Linked DNA regions of Arabidopsis thaliana. The protein of the gene in region 1 interacts with the protein of each later gene in a biochemical or structural test. Each region holds a gene or a part of one and is shown on either strand. Other genes may lie near its edges.

What was found. The genes of interacting proteins can lie anywhere in the genome.
Region 2: the proteins of ckl3 (region 1) and CRY2 form a complex in vitro, tested with the Arabidopsis thaliana proteins (one study listed by BioGRID).

Annotation. Positions count from the first base shown.
Region 1 is NC_003075.7:14,248,145-14,257,097, forward strand, and holds ckl3 (casein kinase I-like 3), read left to right. Parts: upstream 1-2,990; 5' UTR 2,991-3,206; coding exon 3,207-3,282; intron 3,283-3,378; coding exon 3,379-3,419; intron 3,420-3,621; coding exon 3,622-3,691; intron 3,692-3,780; coding exon 3,781-3,929; intron 3,930-4,032; coding exon 4,033-4,128; intron 4,129-4,205; coding exon 4,206-4,276; intron 4,277-4,386; coding exon 4,387-4,448; intron 4,449-4,523; coding exon 4,524-4,587; intron 4,588-4,713; coding exon 4,714-4,798; intron 4,799-4,877; coding exon 4,878-5,004; intron 5,005-5,111; coding exon 5,112-5,188; intron 5,189-5,276; coding exon 5,277-5,334; intron 5,335-5,409; coding exon 5,410-5,546; intron 5,547-5,769; coding exon 5,770-5,904; 3' UTR 5,905-6,802; downstream 6,803-8,953. Other genes in the region: ckl4 (casein kinase I-like 4), read left to right, coding at 27-103, 277-334, 519-646, 913-1,053; AT4G28870 (mutator transposase MUDRA protein), read left to right, coding at 2,277-2,576; AT4G28890 (RING/U-box superfamily protein), read right to left, coding at 8,293-8,953. UniProt on the Arabidopsis thaliana protein: Protein kinase involved in blue light responses (e.g. hypocotyl elongation and flowering) by phosphorylating CRY2 to reduce its stability.
Region 2 is NC_003070.9:1,183,488-1,191,810, forward strand, and holds CRY2 (cryptochrome 2), read right to left. Parts: upstream 5,210-8,323; 5' UTR 4,700-5,209; intron 4,587-4,699; exon of another isoform or gene 4,520-4,586; 5' UTR 4,415-4,519; coding exon 4,102-4,414; intron 3,998-4,101; coding exon 3,773-3,997; intron 3,678-3,772; coding exon 2,965-3,677; intron 2,820-2,964; coding exon 2,232-2,819; 3' UTR 2,025-2,231; downstream 1-2,024. Other genes in the region: AT1G04390 (BTB/POZ domain-containing protein), read right to left, coding at 43-128; c-NAD-MDH1 (Lactate/malate dehydrogenase family protein), read right to left, coding at 5,931-6,025, 6,114-6,225, 6,318-6,453, 6,543-6,820, 6,978-7,153, 7,260-7,418, 7,738-7,780; AT1G04420 (NAD(P)-linked oxidoreductase superfamily protein), read left to right, coding at 8,147-8,323.

The sequences.
Region 1 (8,953 bases):
TCACTTAAACGTTTTCTTCTTTGCAGGATATGAGTTTGACTATATATATGACTGGACTATTATAAAGTATCAGCAATCACAGAAAACTAGAAGTCAGTCTCAGGTATAGTTTATCAATACCATTTGTTATTTTTTTTTCTCCAGGTGTATGCATATTTTGTCTTGTTCATAGAGAAGATTTCCTGGGGAGAAGTTTTACTTGGTTTTGCTATTTTTTAGTTTTGGTGCTAAATATAGATATGCCTGTCTTCCTAACAATAAACTGTCATGCTGCAGGCCGTTCCTGGGTCTAGTAATGCTCGTGCAATACCAATGGACACAAGCAATCATCGAGGTCAGCTCGAGTTATAAATTTTAATTGTGTCACTTTCTGATTAATTTTGTAATAGTATATGATGTGTTTTTTGTTTTCTCTCGACTTTCACACTGGACTCAACTGGCATAGAGTGTTTGGCTGATTTAGTTTCCCGTTGCAACTGTTTATTTCAATATCTTGATGCTAACTCTCCGTTTGGCAGGAGGAACTAAGATTTCACATGAAGCCCAAGTCTCTGACCGTGTCAGACCGGCTAATGCCAGTGGTCCAAGCCCACAGATTAATACCGCTGTAGGGAGGAGTCTGGGTTTTGATCAAGTCCACAAGAATGTACGTGCTTATTCATTTGCCTCTTCCAAATAAATGTTGTATCCTGCAACCCTCCCCCTTGTGTTAGCATCTCATGCCTGCATCTGTGTTGCTTCAGAGTTCTGCATGGTTCTCTGCTTAAAGCTTTTACCTGTTTTGCATGGTCAATTGTCATCAACGAGCTCTATATTGTGATATGAACTACATATAGCATAAATGATTAAAACACGATACTGATCATCACGAAATATGCTCTTGACCATTATTTTACTGAAAACCCATTGCAGATGAACATGCCATCATCCACTTCATTATCTCCTGCGGGTACCTCAAAAAGAAATGTCAGACCCGAAACCTCAAATTCTGGGTTTGGGAGCGGGAATAAAACCGGCGGTTGGACTTCACCATTCATGTCACCGGGGAAATGATGCAAAAAAAGTTGGAGTATATCATTCATCTGATCTGCTGAGCAAGATTATGTGTGCCTTTGGGTCTAAACTGTGATTTCTGCAGTGAAAAGCTCTAGACTGAGGTTGAAGATCTGAATGGAGTTTTTCCATGAACAGCTTACTGTTTGACAAAAGGCATGAAGATTATGTTTGCTTTCCTTCAAGATTCTCACAAATGACTGACTTCAACCTTTGTATAAAATCTTGCAACCGGGCGTGTAATTTGGTTCTTGTGATTCATTCTCCCAAGTTTTCTTCTATAAAACTTTGTTCGTATTTCTGTACGTAGTTCCCTGTGTTGGGGCATAACCTGGGTTTGCTGTGTCATCAACATTGTTTGCAGAAAATCAAGAGCAAAGCATGAGCAGCTTCAGCAGAGATGCCTTCAAAGGCTTGAGTCAAGAGTTGCTTGTGGCAGGGACATGTCACCATCAAGCTAATGTGCAGCTGACGAGAACGTAAAAGGATAAGCTATGGCTAGCTTCTGGAATGCTCCGAGAAACACTTCCCCCTTTTTTTTTCTCTGAATTTCCTATTCAGTTTAATGGTATTCTGTGTTTGATTTTTCTTACTCGATTTTGTGCATTGAAAAAAATTATATCAAAAAGCTTGACTTGATCCAAACATGCATTTTCAATTGCTATTATTAAAAAAAAAAAACGTATAAAATTGTAGTCTCAATATTGAAATACAAACACCTAGAATTGATCGATTTGGTAGAGAACTAGTTAGTGGATTAAATTTGGGTTGGCTGATTTTCGAGCCATAAACTATTTCGATTCTCAGCTTTCACACCCGGACTTTTGGGCCTTTAAATTTCCACCATCAACTTTCATATTCCCAAAATTACATCATCTATTTTTGGATTCATGCTTAAACATACATTTCCAATTGAACCATTCATTTAACCGGGATTAACCACAAATCCGCGTTTACTGTACCGCGATTGCGATTAACCCAACTAATACCCAGACCCGTTAAGAAAACGACGTCGTTTTCATTTCGTTTAACTCATCAAAAAGAGAAAGAAAACGACGTCGTTTTCATTCTTCTTCTTTAACTCTCAAATCGATTTAGTCGTTCTTCTTTAATCTCGACACTGTGAAATTAGGGTTCTTGAGAGAGAAAGACAAAAGGGGATTTGGGGTTTTCTTCTTCGGTTCGAATTTTTGGGTCTCGATTTGGGTTTCGAATAGGGAGAAATGAAGAATTGGTGGGAGGAAAGATTGATTTACCAAAGCGATCCAGATGACCCCGATTTCGAACCTCCAGAGAGTGACATTGAAGCCGACGATGGAAGTGATAGTGGTGATAGCGGAGTCGAGGAGGACGAAGCCACCAGAATCGAGGGAGAGGACGTCGGGATAGATGGAGACAGAGCTTCTGATGGAGAGGAAAATAGAGAAGACGATGGTGACATAGCGTCTGATGGAGACGTCAATCTAGAAGACGATGGAGACAGAGATGAAAGTCAAAAGAAGAGGACTACCAAATCGATTTGAGAGTTAAAGAAGAAGAATGAAAACGACGTCGTTTTCTTAACGGGTCTGGGTATTAGTCGGGTTAATCACAATCGCGGTACAGTAAACGCGGATTTGTGGTTAATCCCGGTTAAATGAATGGTTCAATTGAAAATGTATGTTTAATCATGAATTCGAAAGTAGATGATGTAATTTTGAGGAATATGAAAATTGATGGTGGAAATTTAAGGGCCCAAAAATCCGGGAGTGAAAACTAAGAATCGAAATAGTTTATGACTCGAAAATCAGCCAACCCATTAAATTTTCGAACCTTCATCATTTTGCAGACCCCAAAAACGGAAATCATCAAATCATCCACCGTGCCAGCGTGACATTACAAAATCACGTAAATACCCTCGTGTTTGTTTATAAGGTAAAAAAAGATTGGCGGACCCAAAATGGTGCAGTAGTTAGGTGTACAAATTTTTTTTTGAAGGATCACTACTACGGCTCAAACAAGCCTGGGTCCATGTCACTACCACCGATGTCAGTCAAACAAAAATAATAATATATGTTTTTAAGTTCCTCTAATTTCAATCTTCTAAACAACAACCCTAAATCCTTATCTCTATCCTTGCGCTTGATCCAGATTCGGTTCTGATTGGAGCTGCCATGGAACGCATCATCGGCGGCAAGTACAAGCTCGGACGGAAGATCGGCGGTGGTTCGTTCGGAGAGATTTTTCTAGGTTTTGTGTTCTCCTCTGTTCTTGTCCCTTTGGTTTTCCGAGTTTGCTTTTTTATTTGAAATTGACGCTCTTCTCTTCTGTTTGTTGTTTTCGCAGCTACGCACGTCGATACCTTCGAGATCGTAGCTGTTAAGATCGTAAGTCCCAGCTCAATTTGCCTTGAGACGAATTGAATCCATCCAATCTGGAGATTTGATTTGGATCTGCTATGTCTCTTAATTGATTTTGTTTGAATTGCTTTACTCTAAAATTGAGCAAGGTTTTAAACTCGGTGCTTTTTAGCTGCAATATATTCTTCAAGCTAACACTTGTTTTTAATTCAATCATTTTCTCTTGCAGGAGAACAGTAAAACAAAGCATCCTCAACTTCTCTATGAAGCTAAGCTATATAGAATTCTTGAAGGAGGAAGTATGATTCTCTTTCCTCTCTTTTCTCAGTTGTTGGACATTGGAGGGATTCATTAGCAGTACAATACTAATTTTTATGTTATGTGTCAGGTGGAATTCCGCGCATAAAATGGTTTGGAGTTGATGGAACAGAGAATGCTTTAGTGATGGATTTGCTCGGTCCAAGTCTCGAAGATCTTTTCGTCTACTGTGGGAGGAAATTCTCACCAAAGACAGTCTTGATGTTGGCTGATCAAATGGTATGGCATGACTTTCAACTATTCATTAGGCTATTTATAATATCTGTTGACTTATACATTGATTATCTAATGTGCTTCCGATTTTCTTATCCCGCTGTTACAGCTAACAAGAATAGAATTTGTACATTCGAAAGGATATCTGCATAGAGATATTAAACCCGATAACTTCCTCATGGGCCTAGGTCGGAAAGCAAATCAGGTATATTTCTGCAACTTCTTATCTTCATCAGATGCCATAAGTAGAGTATGGTATGATTGATAAGTCTCATTTTTCAGGTTTATCTAATTGACTTTGGACTTGCCAAAAGATATCGGGATGCCAACACCAACCGCCACATCCCTTACAGGTATTGTGGCCTTGGTTCAATATACAGATTGTAAATGATCTATCTGTTTTTAAGTTTTACGGTCACGTTAATCATTATACAACTTATTTCCTTTATTCGGCTATATTCAGGGAAAACAAGAATTTAACAGGAACTGCACGATATGCAAGTTGCAATACACATCTTGGAATTGGTAAGAAATGCTGGCATTCTTTATCCTTATGTAAAAGTAAATCGCTTTTGCTCATATTTTGGGTTCTCTTCACAGAGCAAAGTCGACGGGATGATCTAGAATCGCTGGGATATGTGCTTCTGTATTTCCTAAGAGGAAGGTGTGTTGTCTTTTTGAAAGAAACTAGTTAACATTATGTTATTTCGCAGGGTATTTCTATTCCTTGTTTTTAGAGATTTACTTAACTGTTTTTTGTGTTCCTCATTTCATGAACGTCCTTTTCTAGTCTTCCATGGCAGGGTCTTAAGGCTGTTGACAAGAAGCAAAAGTATGATAAAATCTGTGAGAAGAAGATATCAACTCCCATTGAGGTATGTTTCCCTATTGTGTGATTGATTCTTTTTTTGTTAATCCTCATTCGACTAAGTATATATCGATATCCCATTGCAGGTGCTATGCAAAAATCACCCTGTGGAGTTTGCATCATATTTTCATTACTGCCATACACTGACATTTGATCAGCGCCCAGATTATGGATTCTTGAAGCGGCTTTTTCGTGATTTATTTTCGCGGGAAGGTAGGTACTTTGGATAAAGACATCTCTTCATCATTCATAGTTCACTCAGCTGATAAGGTTCACCGGCATCATCTACCTACCTCACTATTATATGTTCTCTTTTGCAGGATATGAGTTCGACTATATATTTGACTGGACTATCATAAAGTATCAACAAGCACAGAAATCTAGAAATCAGTCTCAGGTATAGTTTTCAATGTTTTCTCAATCTTAATTTGCTGCTGTGTCACCTTTCTTGTTACTAACAAAAAGTATTGTCATTTCTACTGCAGGCAGTTCCTGGGTCTAGCAATCCTCGTGCAATGCCAGTGGACACAAGCAATCATCGGGGTTAGCTCTAATTAATAGCTTGTTGTTGCAATTGTTTATTTTGAAATCTCTGTTTTCTGACGCTCTGTTTGGCAGGAGGACCAAATATTTCTTATGAAGCCGAGGCCTCTGAACGCGTCAGATCGGCTAATGCCATTGGTCCAAGCCCACAGATAAATAATAATACTGCTGCAGGGAGGACTCCGGGGTTTGATCACCCTGTCCACAAGAATGTACGTATTTCTGCATTTGCCTCTTCCAAAGAACCGTTTTATTCTGCAAACTCGTTGCTTGTGTTAGCATGTCATGTATAGTATTACTCTCAGAACACTTCATGGTTCCCTGAAAACTGATTTTACCAGTATCGCTTTGTCAATTGTCATGAATTAATGAAACAATATATTGATCTTCGAGATGAGTTCCCTTGACTGTTATTTTACTGAAAACCCATTGCAGATGAACATGCCATCCACTTCATTATCTCCTGCGGGTACCTCAAAAAGAAATGTCGGACCCGAAACCTCAAATTCTGGATATGGGAGTGGGAATAGAACTGGTTGGACTTCGTCATTCATGTCTCCAGAGAAATGATGCAAAGAAAATGTAGCTTTTTCCTGAAATGGTGAGTGAGATGATGCGCTGTTAATGTGACTCCGTGCCCTTAATTCACCTCTGAAACTACAGCAGAAATCAGAACTTGGTGTCACTAACACCTTTGTATCTCCTCCACCTTTGGCTGGAAGAAAGATGCAATGGTTTCTATGTAAATTCTCTGAAGTGTGTGTGGACAAGAAGGCGTTGGTTGAAGCATTTGTGTTTACACACACAAGACATGAAAGTGTATGTGTGCTTTTCATTCAAAGATTTCCCCCAACCTTTGTATAATTCTTACACCCGGATGTGTAATCTTGTTATGTGATTCATACATATCATTTTTAGCTACTCTTTGCTATGTGATCAATGACCTTTTGCTGCAGCTTGATATATGTATACATGTTAATGGATAGCGTCATTCTTTGCAGAAATCCAGAGCCAAGCTTGAGCTGAGATGAGTCTTCAAAAGGCTTAGCAATGCACAGGTTTCTTTCACAGACGCCCAAGTTCGATTCTTATTTTTGTGCAATTGATTTATGAGGAAAGATTTTGAGAGTCAACATGGGATTCAAATAACTCGGAGACAGTGAGTAAGAAACTATTCTGGGAGAGAATAAAATGTTTGAGAGCTCATGAAGCCAGTTGAAAAACGATTTGATGCGCTCGGTCGGAGAAATCATCATCATGGAAGAGGCAGGTGACCAGGTGTAGGTTGTATTTGTACAGCTGTAATGGAAACCTATCTTAGGCCATAAGGGAAAATCCAATTTGTGTAAACTAAAGTAAGTTTGTCTTAAATTTCTTCATAGTGTTTAGTAATTAGTATCATATACTCTTCAATATTTGCTTTTAAATATTTCTGTTATCTTTATATATTGTGAAAATTGAAATCAAATCCAGACGGAACCTAAGTAATTGAAAACCAAAACAAAAATTAAATTGAAAGTAATTTACTACAATTTGAATTAAGCTACATCATTATTGTTTTTAAACGAAAATTTGATCCGATACCAACTCCAAAGAAGACTGAACTCTACTAGAAAGAAAGGGGCGTTATTCTAAAACAGGTCCATATTCAACCTAATACACCTATAATATAAAATAGTTTCGTTAGGTTCTATTTAATAATTTATTTTAAATTTAACTTCCATTCGTAATCGGCATAAGTTGGACCACATGATAAGTATGATGATGCAATGACTTGCTTTTTACATAACAACAATCTTTGGCCTCATCTACCTATTTCGCATTATAACATGTTCTTTGAATCGTTTCCCATTTTGTTTTTACATCATACAAACTTAAAAAGTTTCATCTACGGTGCTGCACCTGCACTCGAAGCAGCCCAGGTTCCATCGTGGTGTCCTTCGTTACAAAGTTAAGAAAGAGGTTCCAAAATAAGACATGAAAAAGAAGAAGGTGTTCCACTTATTTTTAAGACTGTTATATGCTTATATGAAGGACAAAATATACATCTATTTTAAGTTTAGTGGCATATAAATATATTACAAAGAAAAAATCAGAGGAGTCAGAATCCCACATCAGATAATTATAAATATATCTTATATGATTGGGCATATAATTTCATAATTGGTAACTGGAAAAAGAAAGTAAGATAATCAAAAGGAAATTGCTAGGTCTTGAATATAAAATTGTATATTAATAATCAAATTGGCTAATGTAGTGTTTGTTATGAAATTAAAATATTATTATTAGTAGTTAGTTGACCTACTTATATGTATTTTTGTAATCAATTACATGATTTAGTAATAATGTTCGTCCAAATAAAAGAATACAATTGTCAAGAGACAAAACCAAGAGTAGTTGTGTTTTATTTTGAATGAAAAGGAAAACTAAATAAATAGAGTTAGAAGCAATAATTCATATATCATATACAGTATGTGTGAGTGAGTTATGTGTGTATTAAAGTCTTAAAGTTATAAATGTATAATATATGATGCATTCATAACAAAATCATAACATGTAGCCAAGTTATTACTTTATTTGTAATAGTTGTGTATAATACATGTTGAACAAAAAATATTGCAGTAATAACAATGAAACTGAAAATGAGCCTGGTTGCTTCTGTAACCAGGTAAGCTGACATGTTCCTTATTGAAAACAATTATTGAGCTCTTTTTAAAATTAAATCCAGCAATAATTCAATCAATTCATATATTATAAGTCAAAGCTTTGTTTATACATAAATCTATCTTATTTACACAAATCAGCTTCGTTTGATCCAACTAACATGTATTAAGTATTAACATTAGTAGAATTCTCTGAACATAACTTAAAATCAAAACTTGTATCTACTAATTATGGGAAAATAGTCTCAAATTGAATCTGAAAAAGAATTGCAAATTTTTAAGAAAAATAAAGAAACTAAACATCAAAGTGTTGGTGTGTTGTGTTAATTTGACTTCTTTTTTCTCTGTTAGCAAACCATTGAGCAGTTTTTCTAGCGATCGGCAGCCACAAACGCCGTCTTCTCTCCTCCGTCTCATTCCCACCGTTTTGTAACGCAGACGCAGTCTCTGCGGCTGAACCGCTGCAATCTCCATGAATCGATATACTGAGTCTAGGAACCGCAGTGATGTCAGACACCGATCTTCGTCCTGGTTCGATCATAACGCTTCTTGATTTCGAACCAGAGTCTCCGTTTTCCGAGGAAAACATAGTTGTCATCGAAGTTAACTTGTTCTCCAACATTCTCTTCGCTTCCATCTCTTCCTTGATTCGCAAGATACCTATCTGATCCTCTTCATCTCCTCTCTTCACATGATCCAATGAAGAAAATCTCTCGCTAGAAATCGAATTAACCATCTCGGAATTCAAAAACATCAAATCTGATGAACTCACGTTGCTCCAACGATTCTTGAAAACAACATCCGACACAACGATCCTATGATTGAACTTGTGCATAAGCTTCTTCTCATCTTTATCGTTCACGTGTTCATCAAGTAACGTTTTTTCTTTATTACCTAATTTCAGAATCTTCCGGAAACTCTCTCCGATGCTGAATCTCGACGACCCACTAAGTTCT
Region 2 (8,323 bases), on another chromosome or scaffold:
ATTAAACATCGAGAGATTGAGAGTAAAGAGCAAAAAGAGGACCTGAAGCCAAGATTGAGAGCGTGATAAAGACGGTGGTGAAGAGTATTGATGTGGGCAGTGGTGTTTCCTCCCTTTGACGACGCCATATCTGTCGCCGGAGTTTTCGTTCTGACTGAAAATTGACCGGTGGATTTGATACAACGGAGTGATTGATACACGACACAGAGAGACCGTCCTTTGATTTTTTGATAATGGGCCTTTAAATAAGGCTTTCTCTTCCAAACTAATTCGCATATTTCTATTCCCAAACAATTATAAAATTAATAAACCCGAAATAATTTTTAAAAAATCATCACGCAATTCAAAAAATGTTTTCCTTAAAAAAATTGTAGTGTAAACTGAAATTTATCAGCATTATTATGCACTCATTTCCTTATGAATAAAATCAGTAAAAGAAATTTAGAGTTAAAAGACACACATTCACATATCTATGTTTGAACATTATTTAGCTCGTTGACTAGCTTGAAGAAAAAGAGACAACGACCCACGTTTATGTCTTTAATCTTTATAACAGGAGATACATCAAACCGGAGGGAGAAGAAGTTGTTTGAGTCTTAACAAGAGTGTGTGAGTAACATAAATACAAGGAGATCGAGTAATTAGTGTGAGCATCATCTTAAGAGATTATTAGTGTTGTAAAGTGTTCAGAGTTAAGTTTACTAATGAATGAATGATACTTGAGGAGCAAGGATTGCTGAAATCGTCGGAGAAGATGAACAGACGGGAGAAACGATGAAGAGATCGCGAGCAGAATTAGGGTTTTAGAAGTCGTCGCTCTAGAAGATGAACAAATAGAGACAAGGGTCCCAGAAGGACATAAGCGGCTAGACAGTGCAGCGACGGAGGCGACGACTGCGCAGCTAGGGTTGGTTTTGAAATCGTAGGGATTTATATTGGGTTTCTTCTAGTCTCTTAATTCATATTTTTATTCACTTATTTTGTTTTTAACTGTTTCCAAAATAATTCAAAATTGGTATTGTTGTAAATAATTTGGAAAAGAAAGGGTTATATGTATTTTATCCAAACAAAATAAGTAAGATAATTCGTTAATTATCATTTCTTTTTCTTTTTTCGAGAAGAAAACTAATTATCGTATATAATTATCATTTGAACCCCCTATATAGCAATCATCTCTTTCTTTTCATCGTCTCTTCATTTTTCTCCTCGTAGACGGAGACATCACCGATGTGACTCGAGGGGTTGATGATTAAAAATAATGGTTACGAACCAAAACTGATAGTAAAGAAGACGTTATCCGAATCGGATCTTGCTTCTACTCTCTTTTCCACGACAATTCCGATTACGTCGACCCTCATCCAGGCCCCGTCGACTCCTCTCTGGACGAAACCGATGCCATTGTCAAACATTTCGACGCCTGATGATTCCTGACATTGAAGCTTTATCGCGTGGACTTTTTCTCGTTGTTGTGCCATGCAAGTACAGTAAAACCTTTATAAATTAATATTCGATAAATTAATCATTTTTATAAAATAATAAATTCTTTCAGTATTTGGGACTAGTGTAAAAAGCGATACAAATCGATAAATTAATAAAATATTTTTTTTTTGAAAATCCTATGTAAACATATAGTCCCATCAATATCATAAATTAATAATTGTATTAAAATATCAGCTATATATATATATAAGAAATTTCAATGAAATATAATTCTAGTATCGTTTATTTTTGTAATTTAATTTAATATTTTTATTATATCAAAAAAATTCTTGTTGTTTTCAAGATATGATAATTATTTGTAATTGATTATAAAAAAATATTTTAATCATCAAAAAAAATCTTATATTTTTATAGAAATTAAAAAAATCTTACCGTAGTATTCAGTCATTTAGTTACTATTTTTCATTGGGGTTTTTAGACCAATGATTTGTTACTTTTATTTCCAACTGCATTTGTTTCATATAAAAACGTCGTGTATCGAGATTTCCTTTCTTTTCTTTATAAAGAAATATAAATTGGCCGTTATCTTTTTCCTCAAACTAAACAACTCAGATGAAACAAATTCAAAGACTAAACAAATATGTATATTTTATTCATAGCCAATTGAAATAATATCAGCATTATATGTTTATGCAATCATATCCTTTTGAGTATAACCAAAAGGAAACAAAGAGTTAAAAGACACATTCACACATCTACATGTTAGGCTTTATAACAGCACATTATTTTGATCATTTGCAACCATTTTTTCCCAAACTTGTAGTAATCTGATCAGATGAATCTTGAATACCTTCCAGATTCTTCCCTTCTGATGCCAACGAGCAAGACTGCGAAACGAAAAACACACTCGAAGAAGAAGAAGATTCAGCAGTCGAAAACAACTCCCTTTCATCGAATCCCCTAGATTTCTTCATGTCTCTCTCTTCTTCTTCCTCAGGTTTCACTCTCTTTGACCCGTTGTAACGAACAGCCGAAGGTACTTGTTGGTCATTAGAAGACACAGATGGGCAAAGACCAGGTTCTTTAATGGTATTAGCCCCTAAGGCCTCGAAGCTATCTGCTACAATCTCATCAGGTGCTGCTCCGATCATGATCTGTGCTTCACGGGTTCTTGAAATAGCTTTAGCTAGTAGCTCACGAGCTGTGTCGATGTCTACAATGGGTTTCGCATAGTTTGTTCCGAGTTCCACACCAGAAGCTTTGAGTACGGTTAAAGGAGCGTCCCATGGATGATGGATCCATTCAGTTGGCAATCTCGCAAGCTCGGGAAGCCATTGCCTTATGTACTCACCTTCTGGGTCATATTTGGCGCCTTGTAACTGAAATAAAAACAGAGTTTTCATAGACTTCAGAACTAAATCAACCAAACCAAATAAGCTGAAAAATAAAATAAAAAACGAATGCATAGCAAAAACTGGTATTAAGCTTTGAATTCTAAACTATAAGACAAGTTTTGTAGTTTACCGCGGGATTGTCCAAGCGATCAAGCTCGTGGCCATCGGGGATACTCCCAGAGATATACTGCCAGCCAAGGATGTCACATTCCAAATCAGCATCCAAAAGTGTATCCCAGAAATACTTCATTCCCCATTTCCATGGAAGGAGAAGAAACTTCACAGCAAAGCTTGAAACAATCACTCTTATTCTGTTATGCATCCATCCGGTAGCCCAAAGCTCTCTCATTCCGGCATCCACCAACGGATAACCGGTCCTGCCTTGTCTCCAGGCCTTGAACTTATCAACATCAGCATCCCAAGGGAAAAACCGAAGATGACTCAACAACGATTGCTCGTGAGTAAACGGGAAGTTGAAACATATATACCGAGAATACTCTCTTAAACCGATTCCCCTAAGAAAAAGATCTGCACTTTCTTCTCCTTCACTGTTCTTATCTCTTGCCCATATAATTTGTTTCATCCGGGCACACTGGAAAACGTGTCTGACGCTTATTTCCCCGAAATGGAGATACGGAGAAAGTAGTGAAGTAGAATTCCCAACAACTTTCTTGCTGTTCTTTGCATAATCTATCAACTGCTTCTCGATGAACTCATTTAGTAACTTATCAGCATTGCTCCATCCTGGAGACCAAGCTCTAGTTAACAACGCATTGCTCGGTTTCTCGGCCTCATTCTCCAGCCCTAGTTCTTCAATCGAACACGCCCAAATCGCTTCAGCCGCTAACAAAGAAAAAGCCATAAACTTTTACTACCGCTTATGTCCTGAAGAAATCAAAAACGTTTTAGCTTTTAAGTAATACTCTTTAAGGTTTTACCTGCAGTTATTGGCATCAACCGCCAAGGAGGAGGAAGCATAACGGATTCAATCGACATATCTAAGCATTTCTTCCAGTAAGAATTGAAACTCGTAAAAGGTTTGCCCTTTTCGCAGTATATCTCCCACGGTTCATACAATAGATCTCCATTGTAGCTTTGCACAGAGATCCCACGTTCCACCAGCTTCTCCTTTACGGTATGGTCCCGAACTAACGAAACAGGATCTACAACAAAGAAAAACGTGATCGCATCAACCTCAGTTGCACTTAGACTACACTAACTTAATAAGAATATATATCCTTTGAATAAGAGATGAAAGAGTATATACCATAGAGGTGGTTAAAGACGACTTTTGTAGCACCGGTAACGCGGATACAATCCAAGATCGCTGAAATCGTGTTGTGGGTTTTGATTAAAGTGAGGTCAGATCCAAGAGCCTTCAAGGATTGAGATAAGTGAGCAAGTGATTGTTTCATCCACCATCTTGAAGCTCTTCCAGGATAAAACTGTCCTTCTTCTTCAGGACACCAAATGAAGACAGGAAAAACAGATCCTTCGTGAGCAGCTGCTGCTAATGCAGGATTATCCTCAATCCTTAGGTCTCTTCTAAACCAAACTATAGTCTTTTTGTCCATCTTCATAGTTATTATGATCACAGATGAATCAAAGATCAAATCAGCTAAAATTCCACACTCTAACCAAGTTGTTCCATGATTTCAGACCTCAACCTCCTCCAGAGAATAGTTCTATAACAATAACAGAGAATGATTGATAAGAAATCTGTAATCTTTGAGTCCTAAAATCCAAAATAATCTACAAAAAAACATAACAGAGAGAGATTCGATTTAATCCTAATCCTTTTAAACAGAGCAAGCAAGAGAAATTCAATTGAGAGAAACAAAAATCAAAAGCTGGAAACTTTTTACCAGAACTCAAATCAGAGTGGATATCTCTCGGCGACAAAGATCTTCGAATCAAAGACTGTGAAAGTTATTTTAGTGACTTGACTCTTCTTTCTTCCTATTTTGGGTATGCAAAGTTAAAGATTTGAGATCTAACGGAGACCAAAAACAATACCCATATGAGAGTATGAATGTTAATAATTGTGCAATATAATAATCACAACGAGACAAAAGTAGACAACTTTATCCACAACTAGTGGCGTGTGTTCTTATAATAGCGTTTTTTTTACCGACATCTCATCTTTGATTTGCTCATCTACGATTTTATCGGGATCATGTACGAACTTTCTCTTGTGAGATATTTTTTTATAAGAGATCGAATTTTGTTTGAATGTTGAGTGGGCCTAAAGCGCAGTGAAGATACTCTTATCTTCTTATGCTAGAGAAAAAAGTTTTTTAACGTTGGGGCCGAGGACGGTGGTTCATGAACTCGATTCTGGTCATGCCCACTTTTGTAGAATCCATTAAATATCTAAAGTCTATATGGCTTAAAGGTGAGAACTTGATTCTCATTAGTCATTACCAAGTAGAATCTATAATCAAAATCCACTGCTTTTACTTTACAAAAGGAAAAAGGTAAAGATAAAAAAGTTCTCTCAAACTTTGAATCCTCGTATACCCCTTATTAATGGACCATTGCCTACGGTTTATGATTCGATTTCGGATAGTCGTAAAATAGAAGCAATCTAAGTTTTTTGGATGTATATTTTGGTGTCAACTTGGTGTTTGGTTATAAAATATTTGGGTGAAGAAAAATAGAAGTAAAATTAAAATAATCCACATTAGAATTTCAGTTTAATCTAGTGATTTGGTTTTGGTATGAATCTGCAAGAGTAGCATTTCTTTTTGCAATTGCAACACAATAACACCATTCCTCACAAATCACAATTGCACAAACCCATTATCGAAGAGCTCATCAATTTTGGGCTAATTGCTAAAGCAGAAAAAAATAATCGCAAAAGATAACCATGCAACTGCCAATTTTCTTCTTTTCATGGGTAAACCAAATCAGACACATTGAAAAAAACGATATCCTGGTTTAGAAACAGACCAGGGACAATACTCATCAAAGAGACCAAAGAGGTTATAAAACAGTGTTTGGAGATCTTTCAAACACACTTCTTATTCGGACAAAGCCCTGAAAGGCTTTAACTGATCTCACACCTTATAGATGAAAATTTTGCTCCAGAAGGGTTTAAGAGAGGCATGAGTACGCCAAGTCCTTCTCTTCCTTGAGCTCCTCTGCAGTCAAATCCATCTTCTTCCTTGATACTTCATCAATCGGAAGGCCTAACCAAACAAAATACACATTAGGGTCTGCAGAATCTAGGATTTCATAATTGATGAGCATTTGAGTTTGTAAGTGCGTCATATTTACCTTGGACAATACTCCAGTCTCCATTGCGACAAGTTACAGGGAAGGAGTAGATAAGTCCTGATGGAACGCTGTAAGAGCCATCGGAGTATACTCCCATGGAAACGAACGTACCCTGACAATTTGAATCAAAGAAAGAACTCATATTAGATTAACTGTTACAAAAAAACAGCACTGCAAATAACGGGGAAGAGTTTTATTATGAACCTCTGGAGTTCCAAGGACCCAGTCACGGATGTGGTCACAAGCAGAGCTAGCAGCAGAGAGCGCACTAGACAACTTCCTCGCCTTGATGATTGCAGCTCCACGTTGTTGAACTGTAGAGATAAATTCTCCGTCCAACCTACAGAATGAGCAATATATTTAAGTGAAACTAGATTTTGCTTCCAGAGAAGAGAAAGGGTCTTAAGTTCTATGGCATGTTATACATACCATGCATCGTCCTTGACGAGCTCACGGACAGGCTTCTCTCCAGACGAGGTCTGCACTTTAGCATGGTTGACATCTGGGTACTGTGAGGATGAGTGGTTTCCCCAGATGATCACGTTCTTAACATCAGACACTGGCACGCTCAACCTCTCAGAGATCTGTCCCAAAGCCCTGTTGTGGTCAAGCCTTGTCAAACAAGAGATGTTCTTTTCAGGGATTGATGGTGCAAATTCCTTGAGGATCAATGCGTTGGTGTTTGCCGGGTTGGCCACAACAAGAACCTGAAAAAAAAAAGACAAAACGAGAGCGAATGTGTGAGCAAGAGAGTCGTAAACTAGAACCCAATAGAGAACACAAAGCATCTGTTACACTCCAATGAACAGAGAAGATTGGATGCAGTGGCTTCATTTAACTTAAAAAGCAAACAGATCGTATCACCTTGCAGTTAGGAGCGGCATGCTTCTCCAAGGCAGCAGCCTGAGACTTGTAGATGGAAACATTCTTGGACATCACATCCTTCCTCTCCATACCTTCTTTCCTCGGGAAACCACCAACCATAACAGCAACATTGACTCCAGTACATCCCTCAACGGCATCAGTTGTAGCAACAACACCTGATAATAATACACATCAAATATTCATCTTCTCCTTTCCCACTTATACAAAACAACTTATGACACGGAATGCAAATATCCACAGCAAAACAAAACCCTTAACTACCTTTAAGAAGAGGGAAAGCAGCATCGATCAACTCCATCTTAACACCGTTCAAAGCTTCAGCAGCTGGAGGAATATCCAACATGTGGAGGATAACAGGTTGGTCAGCACCAAGCATGATACCCCTTGCAATCATAGGTACAAGAGCATATCCGATTTGTCCTGCATAATCACAATCAATAGTTACTTTCAGTAGCTGAGGAGATCTAAAGTCACAACTTAAACTCTATCCAACTATATAAACAACGGTTTCTAAATCAGAGTTCGATCCATGAAATAACTTTTACTAAAATTAGATATGCGACCAACTCAATCAATCGTTGGTCAGCGTTGAATCCAACGGAACAAGAGTTGACCTATATTTCATTGATCTATGGAACAACCAGATACTATGCAGAGATCTGACTAGATTCAGCAAGCGATTCACTAGCCAGAGATCTAGAAGTTACACGATCTAATCGGATATAGATGAAAGTTATACCTGCAGCTCCAGTAACGAGCACACGAACTGGTTCTTTCGCCATCGGATCTAGATCGGAGATTATCGCCGGAAAACGGATCGAATTTGGGATATTCGACTTTTGAGAGAGCGTAGAGTCAGCTTTTGTCTGACCGTGAAGCTCACTCTTGCGTATTTATCGAAGATATCGAAGGATGTACCGCCACGTCATCTAATATAATCATATTATCTCGAAGAAATAAATCGAAATCTGAGATTAGACCTATCATATTAGGAAAACAAGATATTATTCAATATATATTTTTGACTCTAATGGGCCTCTTACATTAGGCCCAAATCGTTTAGCCCAGAGTATTCAAATACGTGAATCAAAACAGTAGATAATGGTGGCGATAAGGCGAGAAGAACCACGTCCACGACAACCTCCGGTATGGCGTCATCTTACGTCACCTACTCAACGGTCACTCCGGTGGTCAGCAGCAGTAACATTCGAGGAGTCTTTCGTTTGGCATTCACGCGCCGCCGTGTTACTCTATCGCCGAATGCTCGGAGGAGAATATTGAGAGTTTCGGCGAAAGCGTCGACGAAGAATGCTATGGAGTATAGG